Linked DNA regions of Arabidopsis thaliana. The protein of the gene in region 2 binds, or shares a complex with, the protein of the main gene of each other region. Each region holds a gene or a part of one and is shown on either strand. Other genes may lie near its edges.

What was found.
Region 1: ARP2 (region 2) and ARPC1B share a complex: the UniProt entries of both Arabidopsis thaliana proteins name them as parts of the arp2/3 complex.

Annotation. Positions count from the first base shown.
Region 1 is NC_003071.7:13,345,033-13,353,053, forward strand, and holds ARPC1B (actin-related protein C1B), read right to left. Parts: upstream 4,968-8,021; 5' UTR 4,756-4,967; coding exon 4,686-4,755; intron 4,320-4,685; coding exon 4,231-4,319; intron 4,036-4,230; coding exon 3,959-4,035; intron 3,856-3,958; coding exon 3,761-3,855; intron 3,645-3,760; coding exon 3,575-3,644; intron 3,317-3,574; coding exon 3,247-3,316; intron 3,012-3,246; coding exon 2,938-3,011; intron 2,851-2,937; coding exon 2,808-2,850; intron 2,679-2,807; coding exon 2,597-2,678; intron 2,467-2,596; coding exon 2,378-2,466; intron 2,281-2,377; coding exon 2,195-2,280; intron 2,026-2,194; coding exon 1,962-2,025; intron 1,729-1,961; coding exon 1,628-1,728; intron 1,515-1,627; coding exon 1,456-1,514; intron 1,349-1,455; coding exon of another isoform or gene 1,281-1,348; exon of another isoform or gene 1,016-1,280; coding exon 945-1,015; downstream 1-944. Other genes in the region: AT2G31290 (Ubiquitin carboxyl-terminal hydrolase family protein), read left to right, coding at 1-366; INH3 (inhibitor-3), read left to right, coding at 5,877-6,200; LBD14 (LOB domain-containing protein 14), read left to right, coding at 7,953-8,021. UniProt on the Arabidopsis thaliana protein: Functions as a component of the Arp2/3 complex which is involved in regulation of actin polymerization and together with an activating nucleation-promoting factor (NPF) mediates the formation of branched actin networks.
Region 2 is NC_003074.8:9,950,802-9,958,323, reverse strand, and holds ARP2 (actin related protein 2), read left to right. Parts: upstream 1-2,341; 5' UTR 2,342-2,539; coding exon 2,540-2,581; intron 2,582-2,870; coding exon 2,871-2,981; intron 2,982-3,099; coding exon 3,100-3,234; intron 3,235-3,322; coding exon 3,323-3,394; intron 3,395-3,473; coding exon 3,474-3,552; intron 3,553-3,673; coding exon 3,674-3,723; intron 3,724-3,804; coding exon 3,805-3,908; intron 3,909-3,996; coding exon 3,997-4,065; intron 4,066-4,163; coding exon 4,164-4,227; intron 4,228-4,631; coding exon 4,632-4,700; intron 4,701-4,795; coding exon 4,796-4,879; intron 4,880-4,975; coding exon 4,976-5,034; intron 5,035-5,119; coding exon 5,120-5,186; intron 5,187-5,274; coding exon 5,275-5,358; intron 5,359-5,456; coding exon 5,457-5,537; 3' UTR 5,538-5,845; downstream 5,846-7,522. Other genes in the region: TCP20 (TEOSINTE BRANCHED 1, cycloidea, PCF (TCP)-domain family protein 20), read left to right, coding at 1-514; AT3G26990 (ENTH/VHS family protein), read left to right, coding at 6,767-6,842, 7,226-7,473. UniProt on the Arabidopsis thaliana protein: Functions as ATP-binding component of the Arp2/3 complex which is involved in regulation of actin polymerization and together with an activating nucleation-promoting factor (NPF) mediates the formation of branched actin networks.

The sequences.
Region 1 (8,021 bases), on a different chromosome or scaffold from region 2:
CTTCTGAAGCATCCAGGCATATTCTACGTTGGAAACAAGTATCAGGTTCACACTGTGATCCTCAGAGAAGGATACAATGGCTCGGAATTGATTCACAAGGACCCGCTCGTTGTTGTGAAGGATAAATTTGGGGAATTGATGCAGCAGGGCTTGTATGAGTATAATCACAGGCGATATTTGGCTAATCTAGAGAAGAAGAGAGAGAAAGGTATTGAATCTTTGAAGCCTGTGGTGCGAAAGAAAGACAGGAACCACGATCGAGATGATGTCGATGAAGAAGAAAACCATGGGGATCGACCAGGTGGTCTGTTTGATCCAGAAGAGAGAAAAAGGTTTTATCAGATTCTCTTCAGTGACACCCAATAAGAACATTCTGGTAAAGTTGGACGTTCTCTTCAGATTCTCTTCAGTGACACCCAATGGAGAAAAATTTACCTATATAGTCTGCAATCTCTAAGACGTTGTGCTTTTTCTGAAAGCTACGAAGATCACAATATGCTTGTAAACAAATGCAAAATACGAGTTGTTCCCCGCAGATGCTAGATCAAGATAGAATCTGTGAATTAAGGCAGCTGGAATACTTTCACTTAGTTCAGTTTGGGCGGGAATCAAGAGTTAAGAGTTCTCTGAAACAATGCTATATACTTCATGAACGTGGTCCAGAAATTGAGTGAAAACATTTGCACGTACTTGGAATTTTCCCGATATGTGTTCTTGGTTTCACATTTGGTCTGTGTATAAAGTCACCTTGCAGCTTCCTAAAGGACATACCAGTGGTCAAATTTTCTAACCCCTGAAGACCGTACGTACGTGCTTCAGTTGATGTAAGCCATGTTTTGATTACACAGATATTAAGCGGAGCTTTTGATTCCCCGATGATTATGTCAGATGATACTAGTGTCAGCTTCATTCTGGATTGTATATATCATCACAGATGAAAAGATTCATTTCAAGTTTGTTGATATATAGCATTCATTTCTGTGGTTGTTGTCCGGAGAACTCATTCGACACAAAGCTGAAAATGTTATTATGTTAATATACAAGATACCAACTCGTATAATGAATCAAATGATAGAGCATTCAAGATATTACAAAGATCCAGAGACAAGGGCATAGCTCAAAACTTAATAACACCTGCCCTTACACAAACCAGGAAAACATGGCCTTTATTATGCAGTTTACCAAGTGTGACAATTACGAAATTGGAAAAAGGTGAAAAGGCTAGTCGAAACAAAATCTGATATACAAATTAAGTAAGCTGACTACTGATCCAGATTTTATTAAAACTGATTGCCAAGTTCTTGTTGCATGTTCTCTAGATCCCATATGGCTATTTTGCCATCCAATCCTATAAATAATAAACCGAAAATGCGAGCTAATGAAACCTGTCATTTTGTATGAATTGAATCGGGTGATTCCATGAAGGGTTATATAAATTTAAATTTAGTGACTGACCTGAAGTGCTGAATCGCATAACTTTAGGACTCCCTCCTTTGCCCAGAGGCACAATGGAACTGCAGGTAAACTTCTACGTCAGCTCTTAACAGATAATCAAGTAAAAGAGCTAAAGAGACAGTTTTTTGGCAAATGATTTGGTACAAGCCAAGTTAGATAAAGAAACAATTACGTTATGCTGTTATCATGAACGCCTCCACGTGAATCAGAAGCATCGTTGGCTGTTGTAGACTTTGATTGACTACCGTAGAATTTTCCAAACGCTTCGGAAAACTGAAAAATAACATAATGAACAGATGTGTCAGACACAACACAACAAAATAATGCAAGTGGAAAGTCGTATCGTAAATCCAAGAAAAAAAGAAAGAGAGGAACTACACTAACCCCCAAAGATTACGATCTTTAGAGGAACAACTCAGGGATAAGTTAAAGTTCAGTCATATTTTTTTCACTAAAAGGCTAAAACCAGACATATTGCAATATAAGAAAGAAGATTTGGTATGTACCTGCGAACTGTAACTGGAACCTGAAGATGCCGCTTTCTTCTCTCCAATGTATCTTATGAAGCTCCTACAGACCAAATACAAAAACTTGTAAACGAAGCAATTATTGGTAGTGGTTCGTTTCAGAACCAACAATCCGGCCTGTGATCTAAGAGGAATAAAAGAACTGAAAATTTGATAGTATGCAAACCCCTAAGAAAGAGAATTTTAAGCAGATATTTCTGAGAGTTACACACCATATTCCAGTATCATCTGCAGCAAATACCATCGGGTTGCTGTCATATCCAACCCCTATCACCATTTTCTCAGAAATAAACAGGACCTGAAATAGCAATTTCCCCATAATATATCAATTCAGGACATAACACACCGGAGAAACCAGGTTCTCAAAAGTAAAATAAAGGTGGATGCTGACCCACATCACGAAGAGGCAAATCTCGGAATGCAACGCTTTGGGCTAAAGGAGAAGGGCCAACATCATCAACAAAGTAAATCATGGAGCTATGACCTATACATGATTACATAAACACGCAAAGTATGACAGATGGTAGTAAAAACTGCAACCAAGTTGAAGTTCCATTGTATTATTTCAGTAGAGCGCAATGGAAAAACATCCCAAGTCTGAAGGATTTTCTGACCTACATATGCTAAGGTGTTTCCACTTGGAGACCATTTAACACCAAATGCCCAAGAATATGAGAGATCAAGCTGAAGAATTTGCTGTTTCAACAAAGCCACAGTAGAAAAAAAAACTCCCTAACATTAGATGAGAGAGTAGACGGAACATATATATGGCACAAGAATTATAATATTTACTAAAAGAAGGAAAGCCAGCCAAACTAGTCGAACCTCCCCAAATTTCGTTTCCGCTGGTGAGCCTGCTTTTGAATCCCTGTATCAGCCCATTGAAAGAAAAATAAGAAATGGCCTCATGTTTGAAAAAATGTCTTAAAAGTAGACGTTCAAGTAATGAGCATACTTTGTGTCAACTCCTTTGATGAATGTTGAAAATACCCGACATTTTCCATCTGTTGATGTCGTTGCCAGAAGAACCTAATGCATAACAGACAATCAGAGAGCACAGCAACATAAAAAAGCATACGAGAAAAAATGATTTAGAAGATTAACTAGTTTGTGGAGATTGATATTCTATTTTTAGGGATCATGTACTCTATACTCAATCTGGTGGCCAACTTATAGAATATTTTTGGTAGAGAAAGCTTTTACAGAGAGCCTGCTTAATATTTTGGCTACATGAACTACAAGAGGTTCTGTTGATTGCACGTACATTATTAGGATGCCAAGCAACAGATGTGACTGAAGATTCGTGCCTTTTCCGGATTAGCTTACTGACCCACCTGCAAACAGTAAAGCCAAGCAATGTCAGATACTAAAAGTTTACATGAAAGTATCTTTCTAAAATCTCTAAACAATACACAGTTATGCATGCCAAGATAATAAAAAATATGATTGGTGCTAATATCATGCCAGTACATAAGACAAGATAATATCATTACATAGACCAACAACACCATTCGTAGCAAAGAAGTCAGGAAACTTGCCAAAGAAAAAATCAAGGACTAATAATGAGAATTAGGAGCAGAAGAAGAAAATACCAGTTATTCTCTTGCTCATAATAGCAAATACAAACAGTTTTAGCACCACTTCCAACAGCAAACTTGTTCTCTATGGGTATTGAGCAAAAAGATGAGAACATAGATTAGAAGCTGTAGAAATTATAGGAAAATTACATGATATATTACGGAAATTAAGCTTAAGAACCAGAAAAATTAAACATTTACCTTTGGGGCTCCATTGGACACAAAGTGCAGCACGATTTAGTCTAAGAATAACGAGAGTTGGTACCCATTCAGCTCCTTCCAGGCTCCAGACGTACCTTCAAGAAGCATTCTAAACTCAGTTCAACGAACGAAAAAAAGTGAAGGACTAAGATTAACAGGTTTGGAGTTTCTCAAAGTATATCAAAGGTAGCAACTTACGAGTTCCTGTCATGAGAAACAGTGACGATTTTGTTGGACTTTGAGCTCCAATCTATTCCAGAAACAATTTGGTCATGCTGCAACAAGACGAACAATAATCATGAAGTTGTTGTAAGGGAGATTCAAGCTGTCTATACAACACTTATCAGCGACAAGTGATCAGTGAAATGAGAATACATAAATATACGAAAGTAAGGAATTCCCAAGAAGAGAAAGCAAAAGGAGTGCAAGTTCAAAAGTTACAGAAAGAGAGGGAGAGAGAAAGGTTTCACCTTTTGGAGGACATGTAACCTCTCCCAGTGGTCTTGAGACAATGATTTATAGATATGAACTTCAGTGTTGTTAGGACAGAGAGCAACCACTACCAAGAAAAACGAAACAAATGTCAAAGCACATAAATGGTTACAGGCTTTAGTACAGACGTTAAATCATTTGTAACAATAGATTTGGTTCATCTGTTTAGAAAAGCGCATCTACTAATGTACAATACTAGATACCAAGTGCTCCTAACAAGAGACACCGACAAACAGACATATAAAACATTGACTCGAAAATTCTCAATTATAGGGATTTAGAAGAAACTTGATTACCAAGATGTATAAGAATAACACAAGTCAATTCAGAAAAACTAACTAAAGATCCTCCTCATTTATAATTCTAAAAACAGAAAAACGACGGAAGAGAGAAAGAAGAGAATCACAAAATCAGAGAGGTGTTAGAAACATACTGGAGAGATCAGGACTCCAAGCATGGCAAGTGATTGACTCAGCGAAACGATGAACATCCACCACTGCCATGAGTGATCCTTGTTGTCCCAAATGTGTTGTAATGAAGACAGTCTTTTCTCTCAAATTGACATCTACAGATTTCTAAAACGGAGTCGTACGGTGAATAGATGGACAGATAATTATGATGAAACGCCGATGAGATCCGGAGCTTGACGACGACACAGTCGCAAACGTGAAGTGAAAGTGTAAGTGAAAGAGACGGATGTTTTTGTTTGTGTGTTTTATTTTACTCTTATAGCCCAATTTTTTATGACCAGATCATTTTCTATTTTCCTTGGCCCTGTCTTAGGGGCGGCCCAGCATAATAATAAGCAAAAAAAAAAATAAGATCTAAATTCTGCATTAGTTAAATACTTAAATATACATAATTGGATTTAATCAAATCCATCCATGTAAAAATCTGAACTAAACCTCACTATGAGTATGAGTAACTTATAAAGTCATTCTATATATTCAGTTTTCGAATCCCAAATAAGTTAACATTATAGTTTTCTCAAAATTAATTACACTGTATTAGTCTTTTTTCTAATATATATATTAACATTTCTTAGAAAATAAATATAAAATTAGACCGAATTTTTTTTTTTTTTTTTTTTTTGGTTGGAGCGACTAAATTTCTCCATCGGCGAAAGAAAAAAAAAACAAAACGAAAAAAAAAAAAAGTTTCTCGATTCAACAAGCGTCCCTTCCTCCTTGGGGATTCACAGGTTTGCTTCTTCGTCGATTTGATTCTTTGAATCTTTTTTTCCCCTAGGTTTAGGTTTCGCTATTGTTTCTACGATCGAAACTAGGTCTCTCTATTGTTTACTGCAACATTTGATTCTCAATTTCATATCACCGATTTGTGTTTATCCCCTGGAATTAGGAATGATTAGGGTTCAGATCTCGTAGGCAATGAATTTAGGGTTAGAGAAATAGCATCTGTTTGGTTTGTTTACCTAAAGAATGAACCCTAAAGGCTTTGTTCTGTTTTACGATTTTGTTTAAGGTCTTAGTTTTTATCTTTAGCTCTTGTCATTCTTAAGCATGTTGTTAGTTGTTACTATTAAGAACTTTTATTCTCTGTTCTTGTATTTTGGTACCTTATGAAATTAGTCTTTTATGCAGATTTTGAAAGCTAATCTTCAGCTATGAGCACAGCAACAAGGCCTTCCTCTTCAGCAACAACTTCTGTCATATTAGAAAACCCTGTTTCTCAATCACAACCTACTGAAAGATTAGTGCTTCGGTTGAACCGGAAGAAGAAGAAAGTTTCATGGAAAGATGGGACTGTAGACAATGAGTTTATGCAGAAGAAGAGTTCGAAGAAGTGTTGCATCTTTCATAAACAGAAGCCTTTTGATGAGGATGACAGTGAAGAAGAAGATGATAACAACCATCACTGTGATCATAACCATGAACACTCCGAATCTGGTGAGGCATCTTCTTCTAATGATTCTAAAGCCGTTGACTAATCAATCAGGTTTTTTCACGTTACTATATATTGAAGCTTTTTAATAGATCATGGAAGAACACACATTTGTTGTTTTGGTCTCTTCTCCTATCTAACCCTGGTTGGGCGTTATGTATATGTACAAGTAATTTGCAGATTCATTGCAATGTTAACTCCTTCATACTCTGTTGAAAATGATGTGAATCATTGAAGATTGCTAATTAGTTAAAGAATTACAAGGATGTTATATTTTCTTTCTACATTTGAATATGCTTTTGCTTTTGCTTTTGCGACTGCATACTATTTCTCAAAATGCAATGTTCGGGTTTCATCAATTAAAAGATGAGCACTATATTATTTTCCCAGTAGAATAGGATTTGCAAAGGGTAAGTATAATGTTTGGGTTTCATTGGCCGATGTTGGGATCAATGCAGCTTCTGGATCAGATGGGTTGTGATTAGGATCGATAAAAAAATATGACCGATATGGCAGAACGATGTAGCTACTGGTCGGATGGTTTGGTTGGCTAGATCGGTGGCTCTATGACCATGATGGTTGATCGATGCGGGTTATTTAGTTGGCTCCAGGGATATTGGATCTGCATTTGACTGATGGGCACGGCCAATGTGGCTTATGAGGGTTGTTTGAGGAGTCCTAGATCAGTCATTGGTGAGACCGATCCCATGGCCGTACTGGTTCTGTTATTTCTTTGTTCCCCGGTCCTTCTTTGACCAAAACTCCGTCTTTTCCGCAAACTCTAGGCACAAGTTAGGATATCTAAAGACACCCGAAATCCTTAACATAGATAAGAAAACAAAAATAAAGCTTCAAACTCAAATTTTTCTTACTATTTTTAATCTCCACTAAACCAACATTAAGTCATAAATCCACTATCAGTTGTTCATTATTATCGAATAATTTAACTTTTGTACTTGATCAATTATTTTGGAATATTTTTGATGTTAATCATGATTCATGATTAATATGTGGGCTGGATAATCATGGGTCTCTCTATTTTTCTAGTCTGTAAAGTTTGATCGAAACTGAGAGCATTTTAAAATATTTAAATCGAGATATAGAAATAACTTGTCTCATATACTACTAATATCAAATGCCTTTGTTCTTATTCTACACACATCTCAATCACTTATGTGGTGTATATGTTGAGCATTGTTAAATCTTAAACTATTGTTTTCCAAATTAAGCAATAATGACAACAATCTTAACATAATTTCACAAGTACATGTAAATTTTCAACTAAACAAACACTAAAAGTAAACTCTAATTTATTTTTCTAAATAAAATAAGAGAGTAAATTAGTTATGAATTAAAAAAAAGCTAAAACCACAACAAAAAGCAACTTGGGTTTGGTTCATGTTTACTCATTGTTTTGTCCTATACGTCAACCAAATCTCTCATTTGATCGGATCTTAATATTAATATGGTTCTCTCAATATTTTCTTAAGAATATTCTCCACCTTAAGAGTTTAATCTCAATAATATATTACAACGAGTTATTGAATATTAGAGAGATGTTTTACAATATAAACTTGAGGGAAAATATAAAAGCTGCAATCTTGTAATTGTAAGCCATTAGAGAGACAAATATGTAAAATAACAAGTTGAGTTATCATAAATCCCACCTTAGTCCTTTACCATAAACACTCGTGCACTATATAATCGTCACTAGAAGAGTATAAGTAATGAAGTATTAATATTCCTACAAGATAGTAATAGTTGGTTAATATCAATAGATTATAATTACGTTTTGAGAATGGGAGGTTTAGGCTCACCATGTGGAGGATGCAAGTTCTTGCGTAGGAAATGTGTAGAGGGTTGTGTA
Region 2 (7,522 bases):
TTCTTCAGCTGCAACCTCTAACCATCATCAAGGTGGGTCTCTTACTGCTGGTTTAATGATCAGTCATGACTTAGATGGTGGGTCTAGTAGTAGTGGTAGACCATTAAATTGGGGGATTGGTGGCGGTGAAGGAGTTTCTAGGTCAAGTTTACCAACTGGGTTATGGCCAAATGTAGCTGGGTTTGGTTCTGGTGTGCCAACCACTGGTTTAATGAGTGAAGGAGCTGGTTATAGAATTGGGTTTCCTGGTTTTGATTTTCCTGGTGTTGGTCATATGAGTTTTGCATCTATTTTGGGTGGGAATCATAATCAGATGCCTGGACTTGAGTTAGGCTTGTCTCAAGAAGGGAATGTTGGTGTTTTGAATCCTCAGTCTTTTACTCAGATTTATCAACAGATGGGTCAGGCTCAGGCTCAAGCTCAAGGTAGGGTTCTTCACCATATGCATCATAACCATGAAGAACATCAGCAAGAGAGTGGTGAGAAAGATGATTCTCAAGGCTCAGGTCGTTAAAAGGATTGGGTTTTTTTTTGTATCTTCTGGATTTGAAAAAGCTTTTGGCTTTTGTTTTGTGATAATATTGTTGTAATTTGTACCACCATGGAGAAGAAAAAGAAAAGGTTATATACTGAGTGAGAGTGATAATCTATACTTATTGAAACCTCTGCAAAAACACAAGGTGAGTTCAATTTGAGGATGATGATACAAGAGAGTGGAATCTTCAAACCTTTTTTTCCGAGTGTTTGTGACAATTTTTTGGCAGTTGTTGTTTGAACTTGCAGGTGGAGTTTGTTGAATACACACAGCCAGAGATTTTTTTGTTTGGAGTCTTTAAGTTGCAGAGAGGCTTGTTTTTACTTGTTCTGAGTTTTGTTGCTTTTGAATATCAAGAAACCGGCTTTTTTCAGATAGTACAACAATGGTAATGTATACTTGTCTTCCATCACATATTTGTAGAATGAAGATTTATAGCTCTCTTTTGCTCAGTATTCTTCTATTGCATCTCCAAAGATTGTTCTCTTTCGTTCGATCTCTCTGAATGAGTTAAAGACTTTCGTTTAGAGTCGAGTGTAAAACACTTCGCTGCATGTTCTGATTCAGTGGCTTTGAGCTGCAATGGATTTCACAATGATGGTAACGTTGTATTCTTTAACTCTTACTTACATTCATGTTATTGCCCTGAGTGTGCCGTTAACTGTGGGAAGGTTTTGAACTAGGTACAAACCCTTCGCAGTTGGGAACCAAATAAGCTGGTATTGCATTTACTCTTTGCCTTGCAAGCTTTTTCAAAGATAAGTATAAATTGTTCAACGAGTCAAAAAGTTTATATCATTTTACTCATTTTGACTTGAATTTGACGGAACTAAGGAAAGAGACTAAGAGAGAGAGAGAGAGAGAGGTTAACGAGTCAAAAAGTTGCTTGATCTCTATGATTTGTCCAACCAATCAAAACAAGTGAAGAAAATTCAAAAACATTCACAAAGCTCTCTCTTTCCCTTTTGAGCAATGATCTAACTCAACACTATGGTCCAAATACAACTCCAATAGATCCATTCCAAAGCCTCCCTCATGATGAGAGCGTGACTTAAGTTGCTTACTCTTTTAATTTCCATTCTCTTCGACACATTGGGCAAGGAGCTTGACTTGTCTACGAATTCTTCCATTTCAATATACAGAAGTGAAGATGAAACGCGTGGTTACTTTGAGGTCTAAGACATGCAGTTTTGTTCTTACCAGAACTAAATAAAGCAGCTTAGCAATGTTCCAGTAAGCATGAGAGACAGTGTGTGTCCTAATTAACCTATATAAAAGTGAAAACATGAAAGCTGATTTTACATCGAACAAGTCATTGGACTTGTGTGTGTGAAACTGTAAAAGTCTTATCTTATTTTTACTATATTGGTGACTGATACATAACATGTTGTGACAGGAACTTAATTTACAACATGTTATGTAGAATAAATTTTAGTATTGAGACAACATAGAGACAACAAAAAAACCTAGAAGAAGATTGATATCCCAACTTCGTACCAAAACCCTAGTAACATCTTTCTCGTAACATAACCCTAATAGTGATTGAAATCTCTGATCAAGGGATTGCATGATGATCATTTACTAATTCTTAGTTTAGATCATCTAGAAGATTGTTATACAAGTAAACAGAATTATCTGTTTGACCTAATATGGGCCTGAGATAGCCCATCAATACCCACAACCAAGTTAACTCCATCTCAATAATTCGAGAAAAGGGGTAACGTATTTAATAATTTTTTCTATGTATTGACCGTTTGCACTACGTGACGTTTTCACGTAGAGTAAACGACGCGCATTCTTATAAAGAAACGAGGAAACAGCTGCTTTTTGTTTGTCGAAGAGCAAATATGTTTTCTCGATCGCGACCAAACAAGTAGAGAAGAGTGATTCTTCGCTTCGATTCAAAGACAGGTTTTTTCTTTTGTTCCCTGAGAGATCGAATCGAAGAAATCGAAATTTTTGTACTTCGATAAAAATCTGTAGTCTCTATAGAAATCGGAGAAGATGGACAACAAAAACGTCGTCGTTTGCGACAACGGCACCGGTGTAAGCTTCTTCTCTCTGATATCTCTTGTTTCAGACTCCGAACTTTAGTTGAATCTGATCAATCATTCCATTCCTATCTGGGTTTCGTTAAAAATCTCACTTTTGAGTTTGTTTAGGATCTAGTTGTCTTAAAGTTGCAAAATTTGAAAACTTTCATGTCTTAGCATAGTGTAAGATCGTGTTTCTATTGAAATCAAAACTAATACATGAGAAATCTCATAATGGGTTGCTTAAGTTTTGAGTTTCTTGTGATGGGAACAAATTGTGAGCCTCTTATTAAATTTTTCAGTATGTAAAATGTGGATTTGCTGGAGAGAATTTCCCAACGTCTGTTTTCCCCTGTGTCGTGGGAAGGCCATTGCTTCGGTATGAAGAATCACTCATGGAGCAACAAGTCAAGGTTTGTAGATATGTGACTTTAAATAAGCAAAACCAGATCATTGTTAGCCTTTTGAGTTTTGACTGAGCTGATATGCGTAATTCGGATTCATATACGTTTTGGTTTTGTTTCATTTTAGGATATAGTTGTTGGGGAGACTTGCTCTGAGCTCCGGCATCAATTGGATATAAATTATCCTGTCCACAATGGTATTGTGCAGAATTGGGATGATATGGAACATGTTTGGGATCATGCTTTCTATAACGAATTGAAAGTAAGTTTCTTCTCCTGCTTCTTCTTGCCATTTTTGTCTCGGTTCCATGTGTCTTGACTTACTCTTAAACCCTTTTTGTTATTAACAGATCAATCCATCTGACTGTAAGATATTGCTCACGGATCCACCTCTTAATCCGTCCAAGAATCGTGAAAAAATGGTAAGATATTATCAAGTCTTTGGTTAAGAGTTGCTTTGATGGTTGTTGGAGCAGTGATTTATTTTATGTTATAAAACAGATTGAGACAATGTTTGAGAAATACAATTTCGCTGGCGTTTTCATTCAAATCCAAGCCGTTTTGACTCTCTATGCTCAAGGTGCTTATGGAGACTATTGAAGGTTTAGATTTTCTTTCGTGTGTTTAGATAGTCACCTGTAAATAGCATTTATGTGTGCTTCCCTGATATTTTTCTTCATGTGTTGAACTCTTGGTTTCAGGTTTGCTAACTGGTTTGGTTATTGATTCTGGTGATGGTGTTACTCATGTGGTAAGCTATAAACCTCTGTAATTTTTTAGATCATATATTGCTTATAATAGAGAAGTTAACCGTCTTCGCCTCACATCTTAGGTTCCGGTGGTTGACGGCTACTCGTTCCCTCATCTTACTAAAAGAATGAATGTTGCTGGCAGACACATAACAGCATATCTCGTTGATCTACTATCTCGACGAGGGTGAGAAACTGATTCATAGACTCACATTCATTTTAATGATGTTGAGATGTTTTAAATTAGCTAAACTAAAAGACTGTTTGTTCAACAGATATGCGATGAACAAAACAGCTGACTTTGAGACGGTTAGGGAAATTAAAGAGAAGCTCTGCTATATAAGGCATGCAAAGACCTCTTCTCAGCTTTCCTCTAATATCTGTGTAGTAATGCATTACTAGAATAGGAAATAAACACAATTTGTTTTGTCTTTTTTTGCAGTTATGATTACAAGAGAGAATCTCAGCTTGGCCTTGAGACAACTATCCTTGTTAAGAATTATACTGTAAGTCTCTCTCCTGGTATGAACCTGTCAGGTGTGTGAATTTTCAAGGTTTCGATGGCAAATAGAGGCAAGAAACAGAAACTAGTGTACGTTAAGCTAATAGGAATCCAAACTCATGATCAGAACTAAATAGATAGCAGATTCTTGGCGAACTTGAGCCTGTAGAGAACTTTAAAGATTCGTGCCATCATTCCTTTGTTCTTTTTGGTAATGAAAGAATGATATTATCATCTTTTCTTTTCATGACATCGTTTCTCTGTTCTTGGGCGCTGTGTTTGGGATTTTTCATCCGATAGTCGATAAAGTTTCATACTTGTGCCAGTTGCAGCCTCTAAAGCTGATATTATCACCAAATTATTTTTTTTCCAGAGTACTAACCCGTTGTGTTTTTGAACTGTGATCAGCTTCCAGATGGGAGGGTTATCAAAGTAGGCACTGAAAGATTCCAAGCACCTGAAGCGCTTTTTACTCCGGTAAACCTTCATCGCGTCCTCTGCTAATTTCTCTTTTGGAATAGTTTCAACCCTCCAAGAATCTCGAGGCTGATCACAACCAAATATTTTTTCAGGAACTCATTGATGTTGAAGGTGATGGAATGGCAGACATGGTTTTCCGATGTATTCAAGAAATGGATATTGATAACCGCATGATGGTTCGTGTGACTCTTACGCTTGCTTGGTATTTCAAAAGAAAGATCCAACAAAACTAATCATTTATCTGTCTTAAACCCTTTGCTCTTTTTTCACAGCTCTACCAACACATAGTTTTAAGCGGAGGTAGCACCATGTACCCAGGATTACCTAGCCGGTTCGTATATTTTTTCTTCATCATAACCCAGCAAGAAGTTCCATTGTTTTATGTTTCATTGTCTTTTATTCTCTGTTTGTTTCAGTCTTGAGAAAGAAATACAGGATCGGTATCTCGACACAGTTCTAAAAGGAAACAAAGATGGCTTGAAGGTAAAAAAGATGATTCTGATAATGCCATGATCACTGTCAGTCATTAGCTCAGTTTTTAACATTTATCTTCGTTTTTCTTATCAATCAGAAACTCAGATTGCGGATCGAAGATCCACCGAGAAGGAAACACATGGTATACCTCGGAGGTGCTGTTCTTGCAGGAATCATGAAGGTAAGAGAAAAGTTCAATGCTATTCTCTCTTTTAACACGAAAGCATGAAATTTTAGTCTGTGTTATGATGTTAAGAGAATTTGGATTCGATGTTGCAGGACGCACCAGAGTTCTGGATCAATAGAGAGGACTATATGGAAGAAGGAATTAATTGTTTGAATAAAATGAGCCAAGCTTAATAACTTTCAAACGCAGAACTCATACTTGTACTTGTACCCCTTTTTTTTACTACCGTCAGGATGATTTAATTCCGTTTGTGAATTCAGTATTTTAGGTTTCAAAGTTTGAGTACAATTGGTTGCAGTTAGGGATCCAAAATTCGACATGTGATTGGTGGGATATACAGAAAAACGTGTATTAACTAATAATGTTGAGACTAATATATTGTGTAATAACCAAAGCCAAAAGGTCGAGAAGAGACGAAATGCATATATCTTAATTCTTGAGTAAGCAAACAGAGTCAAAACAGTGAAAGATTATTTGTAATTTTGAAAAGGAACCCTATTTCTTGCCACACAAGGTAGATCCCTATTGTTTTCTGTTAAAACCCAAAAGATTGCCACAACTCTGAATTGATGGAACCAGCTTCCTTCTACTGCATGTTCTGCAGCTAGTCTAAGTACAGCAGCTTCAAGCTAGATCAAAGACAAAATGATTACCTAACCTGCCATGAGTAAAAAAGGATTTGAAAACTTTTAAATTAACTAGAAACAAAAAAAACTGATTTACAATCCCAAAATAAAAAACTGTAAAAACTTTTTGAGGTCTTAATATGGGCTTTGGCCCAATAACGGCAACACCGTGTCAGAAACGTTGGTGTTGGTGACTGTTAAACTACCTCAACGACATATAAAACATTATGAGCGTTGGCCCAATAAAGAGATATAGGCCCATAAAGTTATAGAGAAATCACCCGGTGGTTCATCCAAATCTAACCACGACGAAGATTATTTCCAAACTGCTCAAACTTCTCCGGCGAGTTTTGGAGACATTATCGGAAAACGGCGCCATTTTATTAACCGTGATTTTCGTTGGCTCCTTCACTGCTAATTGTTAGCATCATCGCAACAATCTCCTTCTTCTGATTGATTCTCTCTGTAATTTCCTCTTCGCGCTTGTTTTTTCCGTATTTGCTTTCTACTGAAATTGGTCTCTGGTTATCTCTCGTAGATTAGGGTTTATACAAGCTTTGATGTCTAAAGCCACTAACTAGTTTTGTTTATGCACGTACTTGTCCTATTGTCTAGTTCTCGCTTCGTCTTACGAGTTCCTTGTCAGAAAGCTTGACCCTTTTTGTTTTCTTTTCCATTGCTTTGATTGATGACTCTTAGGGTTTTTGACTTGTATCTTCTTTGTTTCTCTATAGATTTTGTGAAGGCACACTGGTTTTTGAGCTGGTGTTGAAGCAATGGGTAGTTCATTTAACGCTCAGATATTAGTTGAGAAGCTTGCCAAGCTCAACAATTCTCAAGCAAGCATAGAGAGTATCCTCTTCTGTATATCATAATTTGGTTGTAGTAAAGCTCTGTAATTTCATTGTTTAAGTACTTAAATAGGTGCTTGGAAAAGACTATACAGAATTGGTATCTAAGTTAATGAGTAACAATGGTATAAGATGAAAGTATTGGTATCTCTTCTCAAGCAGAATATATCTAAATTCCTCAGGATTTTCTTTTACTTGAGCTGTAGTTTATACCAATTTTGAGTTTCAGTGATATTGGTGTCTGATATACACGGATAATTTTCTCAACTCTCCCAACTTGCTTTTATTGTAAATTAGTTTCCCTTTGATTAGTCTCATGTGATGTGTTGTTTTTCTCTCGCCTTGTATACTATTATGGTGTATGTTTTCCTTGACGTTATACAGCTTTATCACATTGGTGTATCTTTCACATGAACAAAGCAAAACATGTTGTAGAAACATGGGGTAGGCAGTTTCACTGTGCCCCACGTGAGCAACGTTTGGCATACTTGTACCTCGCGAATGATATCTTGCAGAATAGCAGGCGAAAGGGTTCGGAGTTTGTAGGTGAGTTCTGGAAAGTACTCCCTGATGCTCTTCGTGATATGATTGAAAATGGTGATGACTTTGGAAGAAAATCCGCACGCCGATTGGTACGTGAAGTTAACTTTTTATCTACCACTCTCTCTGAATTTCTCTTTG